2 linked regions of the Oreochromis niloticus genome follow. The protein of the gene in region 2 interacts with the protein of the main gene of each other region in a pairwise test. Links are inferred from orthologs where the notes say so. Each region holds a gene or a part of one and is shown on either strand. Other genes may lie near its edges. The genes, in order: dera and aldh16a1.

Region 1 (7,739 bases), on a different chromosome or scaffold from region 2:
TTTGCTTTCACTTTGCGATGCGAACGGTGTGTAGAGAGCGGCAGCACTATTCAAACGTGACAAGTGAAATCTCCCACAGCAAGCTTAAACACGTGAGAGGTTGACTGCACAGAGAATTGCTGACCGTTATGTAAGTACGTGTGTAAAAGCAGCAGGATTTACGCCGGTATTTTAGTTCTGCTGAGCCAAATAAGACAGGTCAGGGTGAAGAAGGGGCAGCCAATGAAAAGCCGACCACAAAACGGAAAAGTTATGACAAATCAGACTATGAGGCAAAAAGAAAGCTCAGCTTTTTTGGTTTCATGGACAAAAGAATTTATGTGGCTGGAATATGACGAGCTAAATAACATGATGTTCTGCCAGGTGTGTCGTGAGTTTCATTTCATTTGAGTCGACAAGCGCCTTTGTTACTGGGACCAGTAATTTTAAGAAAGACCCCATCAGAACCCATGAGAAATGCAAGAAATGCATTATACTGCAAACGAGGCTAATCAAAAGCAGCTGTGTCCTGGGGAGAGAGGAGAGTGAGAGAAACAGAGGGGGTAGGAGTGGCAAGAGAGGAGGAGGCGGAGAAAAACACCACGCCCACACAAGGGCAGTTTCAGGAGGCCCAGCTAGGGCCGTAACACCCAGTCTGCAATATCTTTCCCAGAACAAACAGCAATTGCAAAAAACATACTAAAAATAAACCAAGCACAAGCAGAAGTCCTGAAAAATCTTTCAAAAGCGTACTATGTTGCAAAGAGTGAACTACCATTGGCCAAATTTAGCAGTTTTGCAAACTTCAAAAAGCAAATGGCCTCGATCTTGGTTCCACTTACCCCTTACCCTTGACTTCAGTGGAAATTTCAGATTGAGGATCTGACACAGACTGATTCATGTTCTACAGTTCTTACAAGTTCATAGAAATTTCTGTTCAATTAGAAACAAGTATTTGAGTTGATGATTGTAATTTTTATACAGTTGTTGTGATTTGTATTTAACAATTTTCTGATTAATTTTTGTTTCCGTTACAATATTATACTTTAATGTATAATATTGTAAAGGAAACAAAACATTAAAAAATTGCTCTCTTTTTTATTCGGGCTACTTAAATTTATTTTGGGCTACCAAAAACTGAAGAGTGCCTGCCCGAAGGGCTACCAGGGATTTTGAAATTTTGCGAGCCCTGCAGTAAATGGTCTGTCAGTCACAAGGGCCTATCAAATACAAAGAGATGAAAGAGGCAAGACAATGAAATGTATGCGTAATGTATAGCACCATATAGGGCTGCTCAATTAATCGAATTTTAATCTCGATTACGATCTGGGCTTTCAACGATCATTAAGAATGACTGAGCCGATTATTAGCACCTCCCTCGTGCTTTACTTTCGCGGTGCTCCGTGTGGCAAATTGAGCGCACCTCTCTGCGTTTCGAACACGCATCACAACAATAAAGCTTCTAGCTTCTCGGAAAGCTAGAAGTTAGCTTTCCGAGCTAACTTCTACTTAGCTCGGAAAGCTAAGTAGAAGTTATTTAGAGAGGAGAGGAGAGGATAATGGCTGCTAAAGAAAGAATGCCGTTGGTTGAAAAGAGAGATAAAACAACTTCAGTGGTGTGGAAACATTATGGGTTCGCGGAGTCAGACGTGGATCAAGTAGACATGTGTAAACTTTGCTACGGTGTTGTAGCTGCACCACAGACCGACACTACAAATTGACATACCTCAGTGTCAGTTTGATGCAATTGTGCGGCTACACAGCTTGCCTTGAGGTTTGGTTATTTGTATGCATAAATATTATGCAGTATTTTGAAGTTCACTAAACATAGATGTTTACATTTTTCATTTATTTTGTATATTGCAAACATTTGCACTGTTATCAGTATTTGCAAACTATTTTATATTATTTTTTGACAATCTTTAAAGCCATTATTCAATATTGTTGAATAATTGTTATTGTTAAATAAATATCGTCAAATAATCGAGATCTCAATTTCAGTGAAAATAATCGTGATTATCATTTTTGCCATAATCGAGCAGCCCTAGCACCATAGTCAGGTGTTAAAGTAGGCTGCTTGTGTTTCTGGTTCAACACCAGAATGAGTACAGGTGTCTATAAGCTGTCCTCATGTTACTTTAGCATGTCGCACTACAGAAGAGCAGCGAGCATAAAGAGTAATGTGTTTTTTGTGTCACATAATTTCAGATGCAACTTTTCCATCAGCTCAACAAATGTTAGAAAACACACAAACTGTTAATGTGACAGCCAGGTTAACCTGTGACACGTCTGGATTCATTCTGACCTGATTTCAGCTTTTTCATGTTCATACACCAGATACGACCTCTGTGCTAATCCCTTACAAGTACACTAGAGTACAGGTGCAGGTGTCTCACAGGTGACTCTGGTTGGACTGACAAACATCCACTCTGAGTTCAGGTAACTTAAAGTGTACTGTGTAGATGTTGAGGTGACCATCGTCAAATCACAGAAGAGTGAGTGGGAAGAATAATAACAGCAGAACATTTGTCGAAATATAGAATATAAATCAACTTTGTCATTCTTTAAATTTTGTAGTGTCACGAGGTAAACCCACGTGCTTTTTTCTTGTCCGAAACAAACTGTCAGCAGACTGCAGTGCTGTGTTTAGTCTTAATCAGACCTCATGAGCATTCAATTACACAGTAGACCCAGCAGTCACATGACTGGTCAGTAAAACCTAGTTACACGTCGGAAAGCAGGATTAAAACGTTCCCTTTGCGCTGTTCCGGTTCCGTTTGTTAGTGTGCAGTAACATCCATGCTCTCAGGGTCAGTTACCTCTAACTGCTTCACTGACTTCACCTGTCGTAACTTTGCATCGTACATTCAAAGTTTCAGCGTGAAATCCTGCGCAAAGCAACACGACGAAGTTAATATTCCTTGGTTACAAAATCAAATCGTGTTATTGGGTCACGGTAACGTGAGAGCACTATTACTGCGGACATTCTCTCCGTACGTGCGTTTACTTACCGAGCGTCGTGCCCGGGTTTCTGGGCGACATGTTTAGCGACAGAGAACGCTGTCGTTTGTCAACTTCGTCATCAGTCGCACCCAAAATACGCATGAAGTGCGCTCAAAATGCCCGGATGTGTTCTTCTCCGCCCATTTCGTTAGAAAGTCAAACGCCAACGAGGGTAGAAGTTTGTGTGTGACAAAAGAAACTTCCGGTATTTTCATGACGCAGCGACCTGTGAACTGCAAACTAAGCTCACAGCTTTTGCTTTTTCTGTAGATAAATATTTTACAGTCCAGGCCTTGTTAGAAATGCGGCATACGGTATTAATCTTTCTTTTTTTATTGCATCCGACATGAGGATTCACCTGCACATGCATCTACACAAATAAAAGGCACACTTTTAAAATAAAAGCAGCACTGGCAGGAACTAGTTTTCATTTACCTTTCCTGTTTCCCTGACCCTCCACCAGATGTCAGTGTAGTGCAGGATTTTAATGACGTTTCAATTGCAGAATGGGATACACAAAATAAATCCTAATTTTGTCACACATATTCAAATCAAACAACTAAATTAATTCAAAACCCCCAAAGCAAATTCTGAATTGAGATGGAAATATAAAAAATGATTCTCAGGGTCTGAATATTTAATAATAATAATAATAATAATAATAATAATGGATTGCATTTATATAGCGCTTTTCGGGACCCCTCAAAGCACTTTACAATACCACTATTCATTCACTCTCACATTCATACACCGGTGAAAGCAAGCTACTGTTGTAGCCACAGCTGCCCTGGGGCAGACTGACAGAGGCGAGGCTGCCATATCGCGCCATCGGCCCCTCTGGCCAACACCAGTAGGCAGTAGGTGAAGTGTCTTGCCCAAGGACACAACGACCGAGACTTCTTTATATAGTACTTGTACGGTGCATTCAGGTATTCACGATGCTTCACTTGTTCAAATTTTTTTCCATGTATTAAATTCATTTTATAAGAGAGTGGCACCCACTGCCACCGCTGTGGGTGCGCCACCAATAAGAGCGCAGCCTCCAGGTCGAGTTCTATGCCAGTCGGCTTAGAGCAAAGGCCCACCTTCAGGGCCCTGGCAGGATCCAACACCCAGGACGAAGAAGCCTCAGTCCTCCTAGCTGTGAGAATGGATGGAATTGAGGTGTGTTAAATGTTCAGGTGACCATGTCAAGTGTTCCCACTATATTTCATTTTTGTTCCGTAATAAGTATTGAATGCATCACCAGTTTTTTAAGTAAATATATTACTAAAGGAGCTATTAATATTAAATTCTCACCAGAGTTGGTTGGTAACAACCCATCCAATCCACGGATGCAAAGAAATCAAACAATAGATGTCCATAAATTAAGTGTAATAATGAGAAATGACACACGTTTGTAAAAAGTTTAAAACACGCCTACTGAAATTGATTTAATACTTCGTACAAAAGCTTTTGCTGGTGATGACAGTTTCAAGATGCCGCCTGTATGGAAACACTAGAGGCATGCAAGTGTGATTTTGGCCCGCAAACAGTCAATCCTGAAGGTTCTTTGGGCCCTGCAAGTCTTGAACAAATATCTACGAACATTCCAGTTCTAACAGTCAGACAGCTTTTGAATGTGTTTGGTCCACAGGACAATCTAACATGGCTAGACACCTGAGCTCCAGGCAGTTTCTGAGGTTTGCATTCCTGCATTTGCTGGTTCTGTTACACATTCGGGCACTGGGTTTCTTAGTGAACTTTAAAAAGAGCTCACTAACCCCAAGTCACCAGATCTCTTTCTTCGATTTGTGACTGGACACATTAGTCGGACCACAGAGGGGCCGCGTTTTATTGCTGCCTCGCTCAGTTTCAACTGGGACACAGATGGCATTTCCAAACAATGTTATGGTTACTGGGCACAATGGCATCAACGATTGCTTAGTGCCACTCAGACTGTTAAAGATGGTGGTGGACACTCTCTCACAGCCTGTGTGCATCGCGTCACCTCAGGGGGAGGCTGAGGGTAACCGGATCTTGGATGTCCCTGGAGGGAGTCCAGGCTTCTGCACCAGGGTCTTGGACTGAGAGGGTGTTGTTTTGCATGGTGTTGTCTTCAACAGCAGTTTTTTACATAAACAGGTAGGGATGCGCTCCTTTCCTCTGTTAAAGCTGTCTCACTCCCTGTTGTTATGGTGCAGTGTTTGTTTTCTGCCTCTAAGAGCTGCTCATGCTCCAGGCCATCTGACCCTGAGGCCAGACCTTCTCTTACCAGCTACATATCCTCGTCATATTGGCTTTGATGAGGTGACACCAGGTGCACATGTCCTTGCCATACATATTTTGTAAGGGGCTAGGTCCAGCGTCCCTTCATGGGCCTTGACTTTGGTGCTGGATGCCCTTTGTGGCCCCCGCTCTTTGAACTCATGGATTCTGTGAATATGACATTTCTTTCATATAAGACTGCATTGCTTCTCACCTCATGATGCTTAATCGATGTAATCAACTTTAATTTGATGCAGGGTGAAAAAAAATGCACAGAAACAAATTATTTTTCAAGAATAATTAAATAGATTCAACATCTTTCTTCAGCAGAATTGCAGAATTCATAGATGGAACCTTCCCAAAGGAAAAAGTACTATAGCTTACTAGGGTATATAGACTTAAGAGTTACTATATATAGTAATGGACTTCTATACATTTTACATCAGATTAAAATTTTGGGTGTAAGATTCAGATAATTATTTATTAAAAGCGAGACATTTTAAATGAGAATAAGAAAGAAAAGTATGTCTTTGTGCCCCCCTTTTCCCTGTTCATGCCCTATCGGCCCCCCTGGCTAAACTTTGCTAGATCCGCCCCTGCACAGTTACCAGCCGTCAGCTACGTAGAAAAGGATCCTGGTGTAGAAAGTAATATTAAATACATTCTAACAACAGCTTATCAAGCTTAAACGTGCTGCTGTTGTTCAGCCGCTGGTTTCCTCTTTCTGGTCCAAACAAGAGAGACGGGAGTCGCAACAGAAAAGCCGATCAGCTGATCATTGATCAGTTTCATGATTGAAGTAGCAGCAGGAGAGGGAGAGAGAGAGGCAGTCGCTCCATATATCGGTTGTTAAGCTTAACGTGGGAACGCTTTACAAACATTCAGAGATGAACTTACACACTTGCTTTACTTCTCTCTGGGATAACTTCCTCAGAGATGAAATGCTGGTTTGGTAGCGAGGCTACAAATACACACAGCCGCTCTATCACGTGAGCACACTGCTCCGACGTGCTACGGTTATGAGCCGAGTTACGCCGTGTCGCAAGTTTTGTGAGATGCTTTTTTGATATTTAATGGATCGGATTACATTTTTTATTTTTCGCCGATATCCGATCCAGTAATTTAGGTCAGTATCGGACCGATACCGATACGTAATATCGGATCGGTCCATCTCTAATATTTACCCAGGGTTATTCCTGCAGCTTATAGCTCTGTGGAATTTGAGCTTCTGAGCTTTTGCTTTTCTCCTTTTGCATCTGAGGAGCAGAGGAGTTTCCACTGTGTGTGTCTGTTGCATGTGCTACATACCTACATTGACCACACTCAGAATGTGCAATGTGTGACCTGCCTTGCAAATCCAGCCCGAGGTAGAGCTCTGTCTAAACAGAGACTCACTCTCCCACTGGATTACAGAAGCTCATTCGTCTACAGCACCAAAGGTCTCGCTTTGCCCCAAGATGTGAGAATGGCAACCTCAGTGTCTGGTCTGTGGGAGGTCTATATATGTCCCATACTATATGTGATGTACAATATAGTGAATCAACTGAAAGTGATCGAACAGTTAAGTCTATAACTTCTGTTCCCTAAAGGAAAGGAATGTAGTAGAGCACAAGGTTTCCCTGCTCTGCTTGGTGAAGAGCAGCTACCAAACTGAGGGATGACTGTGATGACATGCAGATCTGTCATCACAGGTCACAGGTTTACCTATATCCAGGGGTGCACATAAGTGGTCCGCAGGTACGCATTCGCTGTCAAAATAAAAGACGTGCACCAGATAAGAAGTTGCAACACGCGTTTGCGTACATAAGATTTTCTAGAGGAGGACAGACATTTGTTTAGAACTCCTAAAGATGTTGAAGAAGCTCCTTTAAGCAATTACTTTGGTGTTCCTCCACCTCCAAAGAAATGTCAGGAGTCCGAACCGCAAAAGAAGTGTGTATTCTCGGAAAAGTGGTTGCAGGAGGTGAGCTGGCTTCAAACAAATGACGAACGCACAGAGATGTGGTGCAGAATATGCCGTGAAAATCCCACTCGAGCGGACAAAAACAGTGCCTTTTATATGTAAGCAAACGCGCGCTGCAACTTCTTATCTGGTGCGCGTCTTTTGACAGCGAATGCGCACCTGCGGACCACTTATGTGCACCCCTGAGTATATCACAGATCACCTTAAAGACTTCAGCCTGGACACATGGGGGCACGTTTGTTCCTCTCCTTCAGGGAACAGAAGTTATAGACATAACAGTTCAGTTCTTCTATAGCATTTTATGACTACTTGAGCATGCAAAGTGCTTTATTCAACATGCCTCGTTCACCCATTCACACAAGCACTTTTTCCTGCAACTAAATACCTCCTGTCTAAGATTCAGTATGTTCCCCAAACCTCCGACCTTTCAGTTAGATGACCTGCTGCAGCCACCCCAGTGTAAATTAAATTCAATGAATGTAACTAGTTTAACACTAATTCAAAGGTAAAGATTCAGAATGAGATTGATTTTATTTTTAAATAGACT
Region 2 (8,266 bases):
TAATGAAACATTTTTTGACAGATTTTTGAGCGCCATGTACCACATAAAATCGGTTCGAGGTCAGTAAGCACAACCAGAATTCATACATAGGGTGCACCGGATTATAATGAACACTGTCGATTTTTGAGAAAATTAAAGGATTTTAAGTTTGCCTTACAATGCGGAACATACTGTATACTGTACAGAAGAAAATAATATATCGCGATATATATTGTTACCGCGATATGGGGTTTTGGCCATATCGCCCAGCTCTAGTCCTGACCCAACTCTGATAACTGAGCTAATAAAAATTTAAATTGTTTATTTTTTCTGTTTAACATATTTGGTATGTTTTCTAGTTTTTATCAATACCATAACATTATACTTTAGTAAAGTTTTTATCATATCCTTTGTATCACAGCCCTGGTATACAGTTTATTTAGTTTATGTGAGGCATACATGTAAGAATTTCGAGTGCTTATTTTTACTTTTAAACTCAGGCATTAAGAATAATTTGAAATGTTCAGAACATCTGAGTGTTCAGATTTGATGTTAGGAGTCAGATTAGGGTTCAGCTATAAACATCGGTGTGTGTGTTTTACCCATAGCCAGTGCTGGCAGGACTTTGAGCAGAAGAGAATAGAGAGAACAGTCTTTCGAGGTCACCACTGCCACCACACCTGGAAGACAAAAAAAAAATAAAAAAAAAATAAAATTACAAAACAACAGAATACAAAGACTGAGAGCGTTTTGTAAACATAGCTGAATTCACTTACCTAGAGGTGTCCAGTCGGTGAGGAGTGTGTCTCTGAGCTGCGCCCAGCTGCTGTAGAACTGCAGCAGCCTGACCAGGGCAGCGGTGGAGCAGGAGGCCTCACAGAGCTCACATAACTCTGAGAAACACTGGCCGTGCTGCCCGAGGACACTCACCAACCTGTTAGAGGAGGACAGACAGGGAAATTCATCTTTATGTTAAACTGGTGGCTCAAAAAGGAAGCAGTGAGGTGTATGAAGGTGTGTTTGTTGGACCTCAAGAGCACTTTGGCCCTTTGGTTGCAGCTCAGGCTGCTCCAGGACTTGAAACCGTTAACAGCAGAGGAGGCACACTGGGAAATATCGGCTTCTTCGGCGCATGCTGTGCTGCATACAATACTTCCTGGAGAGCAGGCAGGCAAAACACCGTGACCGTCATCATCATTAGGATGTTTGTGAAAAGTCTGAAGCCAAAGTTTTAACTTCTGCAGAATCAGCTAAATGATAAAATGTGGACTCGGGCTGCTCTCACCTTTAGAATCAGCCAGGGAGCAGCTCCGTCCGTCCGCTGGACAGACAAATTTGCCATCAATGAAGAGACCCAGAGAACGGGAATGATGCTCCAGCCAGGCCTGATGAAGAAGAAAGGGAACAGGCGAAGGATCAGCTCCAGAGCAGAGAGCCCAACACTTGCACACAGATTCAGTTTTCGTGTTTGCTCACTATCATTTGAGAACCCTGAGCTGCCTGCCGAGCCAAAACTACACCCCACCACCAAAGTGCATTTCATTCTGGCAGATGGGTACACAGTAATTGGATTTTGTGAAAACTGCAGATTTATGAAAGTCCTTGAATTAAAGCCAAAAAAATCTTGCTTCACTTTTATCAAACCGTGCCTGTATGAGTACAGAGGAGGATGAGGATACTGAACATCTCAGACCAGCTGTTATCTCATGTCTTACAGGTAAAGAAGGGGAGGCCCTTCTAACGTCTTTTGCAAATCTAAGCATTTGGATATAAGAGATGTGGATTATTTGGAAAATAAGAAAAGAAAACTACAGTCTATCGCGCTCTAAAATTTAAAATCCACAACATGATGACATTGTTATTAGAACACTCGTGAAATTATGGACTGCAGATGAGCAGCACCCAAAACCCAACAAACCTTTTATTGGTTGAAGAGACCAATATACATGACAGTGACTGATAAAGGCGGGTAGGCCAAGTGAAGAGTGTCAGCTATTTACAGACTGAAGACCAAAGTACAGAGCTCAACTCTCTGCAAAGCACCAATGGCATTTTTTAGCAGTATGTATTAACTCAGTCGTGGTACTGGTACTACGGTCTCTCATGCTCTACATGATGTGGGCTGTCAAATTAAACCATGTTAGTGGTTTGAGTGCTTATCCAGTAATTTAGTACTCTTTATAAACCTTCAATGTCCCTGCAGAACCACAAAAGCCTTTACACAGCTGTTTTAACAGAGTTGTTTGCAGATGTGCGTGTAGCAATCATAGACTGTACACAGAAGGTGGGAGTAGCCACCTGAGGTCAATCCCTGATTTTACTTAGTTTTAGCAGACCTGACATTATGAACGAGGGGTAAAGCTCGATTGAGAGATCCCATCTTCTACATTTGGTATTTGGCAGAAGTTCCTCTTAAACTCTTTTCAAGTTCACGTAAAAAGAGGAAACCCCTAAAATGTTTTTCACGGACTACGGTGGGATACGGACATAAAAACAAAACAAAAAACAAAAACAATCTACATGAACAGTAATCCCTTGACACATTATAATGTAATTATGTGTCTAGTTATGTCACATGTTTGTCTTGTGAAGTACACTGGGCTAACAGTTAATGAACTTCACGAGTCCAATAATCTATATAGGTATCCACTAACTCCGCAGCACAGCATGCTAGTATCTGTTAGGAAGTTTAGTTTTAAAGCAGTCTCCTATTACGAATCTGACCGTAATCTGTACCTGTGCAGTAGCAGTGCTAGAAGTTGCTGCTGGCCCGTACTCCATGCTTTGGAAAATCTCGTACACTGTCTTGGTGCTGCTAACAGCCATAATAAGAAGAAACCACTGTGGGAGCAAATCTCGCCGTCGTTGTGCGTGGTCGTTCTTGGATGGAGTTAGGAAGAATATGAAGAGAGAAAGCTGGCAGAAGGGTGTCGAGTGTCACTCCGACACTGAAAGAAACGTGCTAGCCTCCCTGAGCTGACAGTGTATGGGCTCGCTCTGTGGACACGCGCAGATCGATACGTGAGAGCGAGATGATTCACTCCTCCCGACTTCCGCTATTGTGTGCGTTCACCTGAACGCAGATAGACTGAGAAAAGGCAAATAACTTTTTTAACTTCGTAAAGCACAATCAAACCAGTTTTTAGTTTTTTTTTAGTATAACACATACAAATTATTGTAATAACGCGTGTGACATAATTTCAAAAATAAAACCTAATTTCCGTTTTTTTTGTGCCAAAAAATAATCGTCTACCAAAAACCGATTTCCGGTATTTGCCAAAAACTGATTGCTCCTATTTAAACTGCTATATATAACTTGTTGGTCTGTACTATGTGAAACATATGTCAAATGTACCCCTCATGACTGATATCAAGTCATCTTGAGCCACAAACAAAATTCTTGTAACAAGGCAGAAGCTGTAATCAGTTTTTGGCAATGACTTTTATATATCCTTTATTTATCCAGTTAAAAAAAATCTCGTTGACAATAAAAATGTTTTTGTTTTTTTTAAAAGATTAATCTGCCCAAGAGGACAGCAGATATTGCAAAAAATATCACAATAGTTCTGTAAACATATTTTAAGTGGACAAAAAGAACCGGATTGCTTACAATAACACAGAGTTATAAAGATACTTGACAAACGTAATTTTTAAATTTTATATTTATCCCCTTTGTAAACCCTGTTCACCGAAGTCGATTTACCAACATACGTAAAGACATTACACATTTAAAACACACACACACACACACACATTGGGAATCACTTTTTGCCAGGCGATCACTTTTTGGTACAACACCGGTAACGCATTCATTCGGTCACCTGTCCAGTCTGTCATATAGCTAAATAAAACAAATAATTTAATTTTAAAACAAAACGTGATTTTGAATGATAAATGTGACTCACCACAAGTCTTAGGACGTTATGGTGTTAAATTTTAAACTTAAATCACTTAAAAAAAAAAAAAAGTACATGTGTAATTGTGTTGTCTGCTGTTTTGAAGGCTTCCTCCAGTTAAAAGATTTATAGCCACACTACAAATTTGGTTTAAACACGCATCGTGTTTTGGTGCTTTTAGTGGTCCACACCTATAACAACGTTATTAGTTTTGACTAGCGCAGCCATTACTTTAAACGGCTATTTTTTATTTTATTTTTTTACATTTGTTTATTGCTTTTATCATGACTACTCATTACTTTTGGCTGCAAAAATCTTAATGCACCATAGTAGCGTGATTTGAAGGTGTATGTTTCCCCCCGGAGTCATTTTGTCACTGTACCGCCCAAAAAGAGCGAGTTTGCGCTGTCCTCACTAGGAAGTGCGGAGAATTTTATGCGCTTTTTTTCAGCTGGGTTGGCTCATGTCAGCTGGTGGTTATTTTTTCGTTGTTACAGTTTCAAAAGGCTGCCATAAATTGCCACAGCACGGGATAATAATCCGCCAGAGGCGTTACGGCAGATCTTTGAAAAATGCCCCGGAGAAAGGTGAGGCAGACTCAACCATTAATGCAGATAAACAACAACATAACGTCATAGCTAATGTTAGCCGACGTAGAGGTAAAAGAAAACAAACTGTGTGGGAAGCAACTTACGGGGGCTGCAAGCTAAAACGCGTTCCTACAAGACGAAGTGAACGGCTTGTAGCATTCGTAGAATATCAGTGCTAATAGAATCGCATAAGTGAGCTGTCGATCTGCTGCTGCTATATGGCTAAGCTAGCTCAGGCTCATATTGCTGAGTTGCAAGAATATGTTGTTTTTGAAGCGTCGCTTCTTTCTGGTACCCAAAGAAGAGTTTTAAACATGCTGGTAACTTTGTTCACATTTGTAACGGCTGATTGGTACAGTGGGAATCCCGAACACACTTTAGGTAGCAGCAGCTTTAGCTTACTGATGAAAAAGCAATAGGCAGTTCTTTGGGTGCGAGGAGGAACGGGCGCCCGCACCAAAACAACAGCTGTGATTGGACGGACGCCTGACAAGCGTCGCGTTCATTGATTCGCATTTTCTAACGCCCGCCTCCTTTTTAATTTAATTGGTCGTATGCAAATTGTGCGCGCAGCCTCTTGTTATGAAGTTGTCAAACATGGTTTGCGGTAATAGCCCGTGCTGTACTGATGTTGTTTCTGATCTTTGGGTTTCTTTTTGGCTCTGTGAGTTTTAAAAAGTGATTCAACTTACATTGTTATAAATTCACATTATTATTAAAAGACAATTAGTTAGCCTAATAATATGTTTTTACTATTATTTTATTGATGTTACGCTAACGTCCATAAAGCAGGATAACCACATTGGCCTGGATCTGCCTGTACCGTTCTATTTTTATCAAAGTCTGTAACTGTTCATTTGTTTTCATAAATAGTTAGCAAAAAAAATGAGAAAAGAATGGGAACTGAATGCAACAAAGTGGTCACTGTTTCTACATTTCATTTAACATAAGTTAGAAATGTAACTAAATAAATACTGTGACGATAATAATGGTTGTAATGAATTAAACAGAGAGAAATGTACACATTGTTTGATCCTGTTTTCATACTTTTTGTGTTTGTTTTTGTTTGTTTGTTTTGTTTTTTTTGTTTTTGTTTTTTTTGTTTTGTTTGTGCAATGATTGACAGCCCTCACTGCCTAATTAGTCTAGTGTGAATTGTCAGAATAAAACAACAGTCCATTCATTATGCTTATTAGCTAACCTGCAAGCGTGCTGATTTGAAGAAATCAGCTGGACTTCTAAACAAACCCAGTTGTTATAGGTTGTGCTTGGTACAATAGATTAGCTGTCCGGACCTCCCGTGGTGATACTGGTATTAGGCTTATCTGGAGTATTTACAAGTCCTTGGTGGGAAGAGGGGGTGCAGTGCTGGAGGAGATTTGAAGGGGGTGATGCTCCTCCCCCAGAATGGGATCTTTGTTGGATTATCCTCTGGTGAAGAGAAAAAAAAGTAACTTTGTCACATGTGGTTGTGTTGGCCGTCCATAGTTGTTGCTTCTAACAGATTGCTTCTAACTTCTAACTGCTGCTTTCCCAGAGGACCGCTGGCAGCAGCTCGGACGGGACGGAGGACTCGGACTTCTCCGCTGATGTCGAGCATGCTGAAACTGCTGAGATTGTGCACAGACGCAGCAGCACACGCTTGACTCGCGCGTCTCTGCGACTCAGCCAAAGTTCACAAGGTAAACATTCACATTTGGACAGAAATACTAATTAGAAGAGAGATCACTTTAGTCACCGTTAACAAATTTCGAGCCAAAGGTTTGCACAAAAAAAACTGACCAAAAAAAAAAAAAAGTTGCATGAAATGGAAAAAACATAACTTGTTGAGATAAAGGTGCAGACAGAAACTTTAGCTTATTACATCTATCCTTTTCACATTCTTTAGGTTACTGTGTAGCTTTTGGGTGTTCTGGAAGCATAAGAATCCAAGCATGTCTACATGCTGTGTAATTTTGTCTCTATAAGTAATATAAATTAAAGATGCATTCATTCAGAGTCCAGCCTGAGACTTTAAACCCTCCTCACTACACTGGTTTAGACATAGCTATTGTATATGGGCAGCCATAGAGGATGAATGGCTTTAGACAGACTGATCTCCCTCATCTCTCACACACACACAATCACGCACACTCCCACCCCCGGGTGACCTCGTTTTGCTCTGGCTATCAGAGGAGATTTAAAACAGAGGCTGACACTGTTTCCTCTGCTTTTTGTCAAGGAGAGTTGGCTACTCTTTCCTTGTATATTCCCCCCCCCCCCCCCCCCCCCACACACACACACACACACACACGCACACGCACACAGAAACAGCAAAGAGACTGTTTATCTGCAAAAATGAAGTGGATTGAACGGTTTTCTTTTAACTTTTTCGTTTGGATTCAGCCACTGACAAACTACTTACACATTTTACGAAATCAGTCATTTCCAGTCAAGTTTCTTCTTGGAAGAGGAGCAGAGTCCACTCAGGGCTCCAACAGCATTTTTTCATGGTTTGGCAGAACCTTTCATTTTAATGCTTGAAAATCAAATTATGAAGTAACTGGTGATCACTCTTCTGTTGATTAATGAGTTGGTTGAGTAGTCCACTGAAAGGCCTCTTAAGTCATTTTACTGCAGTAAATAAAACACTTCAACACTTCCCCTTTCTTTTGTAGATAACTGCAGCTCTCCTGTAACTGTGGGTCCTGATGAAGCTCTGGACTCAGCCGTAGAGTCAGCGCCAACAGCTGTTGCAGCATCAGTCTTCTCCTCCGGGCGCAGGGTCACACGCAGCCAGCAGGGGGCGGCAAACACCACAGCCAAAAAATACCCACTACGGCAGAGCAGGTCGTCCGGCTCTGATACAGAGGCTCACGGTATGATTGGTACAATACTAGAAATCAGAACTGTCTCATTCCTCAGAGATGCTCTAAACATTTTTTCTCATTAAAAGTTGAGCTTGGTCATTGCCCTCGTGCCAGTTAGATGATGAATTTGCAGTAAGAGATTGGGAATATTCTCATGAATGAGAAAAAACTGGAAGGAGGGGTTCAGGGAGAGAAAGAAACAGGACAGGCTGAGAACGAGAGTGTTAGAAAAGCAAGAGGACAAAAGAAAAGAAGGAAGAACATGAAGGTGCAGCGGAGAGGAGAGGGAGAATTGTTTTTCCATTTGACATCGTGATGCCATTCAGCTGATGTCACGAGGCCTGTCTGTGATCACAGTGTGTTCCTGCTTATAATATGACTAATATCTATCAGTAGATATCCTGGGCTTGTGCTTTGTCACTGAGACGAATGAATTACTTCATAGACACCAGGAACCGTTATCTAACTTCAGCGGATGCAGGAGATGATCATCTGCAGGATCAGGTTACTTTATTTGTACCTGTAGACAGATTTGGTTTGCAAAAGGTTATTAGGTTGTTTATTTTAGCTTCATATATCAAACGTTATATACTGGACATTCAAACGTGTGATGCCAATTAGTGGTGGTGGAGCAGAAACTGTTCTTAAAAAATGGATGATTTGATATTGGAGTGACCCAGGTCTGAAAAATGAAAAAATATGGACATGACATGAGTGAAACCAGCCCACTGAAGGAACAATGGGTCTGGAGGTTGTTGCGCATTGTTCCTTCAGTGGGCTGGTTTCAGTCATTATGCTAATGTACTGTTTATAACATTGGGGAAACCTGCAGTCAGCTGAGACTGAAGAAGTCACTTGGATGAGTGACGAAACGTTTCTCCCACTGAAAACGCTACGTCCAGATGAACAGAATCAACTTTTGGAGATTTTCTTACCTTGATGATTGAGCGTG

Evidence for each region.
Region 1: the proteins of aldh16a1 (region 2) and dera interact in binary tests that used the Homo sapiens proteins (3 or more experiments, as listed by UniProt). The link is inferred for Oreochromis niloticus from reciprocal best matches to the Homo sapiens genes ALDH16A1 and DERA.

Annotation. Positions count from the first base shown.
Region 1 is NC_031981.2:586,857-594,595, reverse strand, and holds the start of dera (deoxyribose-phosphate aldolase), read right to left. Parts: upstream 3,149-7,739; 5' UTR 3,085-3,148; coding exon 2,991-3,084; intron 1-2,990. UniProt on the Homo sapiens protein: Catalyzes a reversible aldol reaction between acetaldehyde and D-glyceraldehyde 3-phosphate to generate 2-deoxy-D-ribose 5-phosphate. Participates in stress granule (SG) assembly.
Region 2 is NC_031969.2:6,234,618-6,242,883, forward strand, and holds the start of aldh16a1 (aldehyde dehydrogenase family 16 member A1), read right to left. Parts: upstream 3,014-8,266; 5' UTR 2,806-3,013; coding exon 2,716-2,805; intron 1,365-2,715; coding exon 1,265-1,364; intron 1,136-1,264; coding exon 1,009-1,135; intron 914-1,008; coding exon 756-913; intron 660-755; coding exon 582-659; intron 1-581. Other genes in the region: histone acetyltransferase KAT7, read left to right, coding at 4,448-4,462, 6,003-6,147, 7,123-7,323.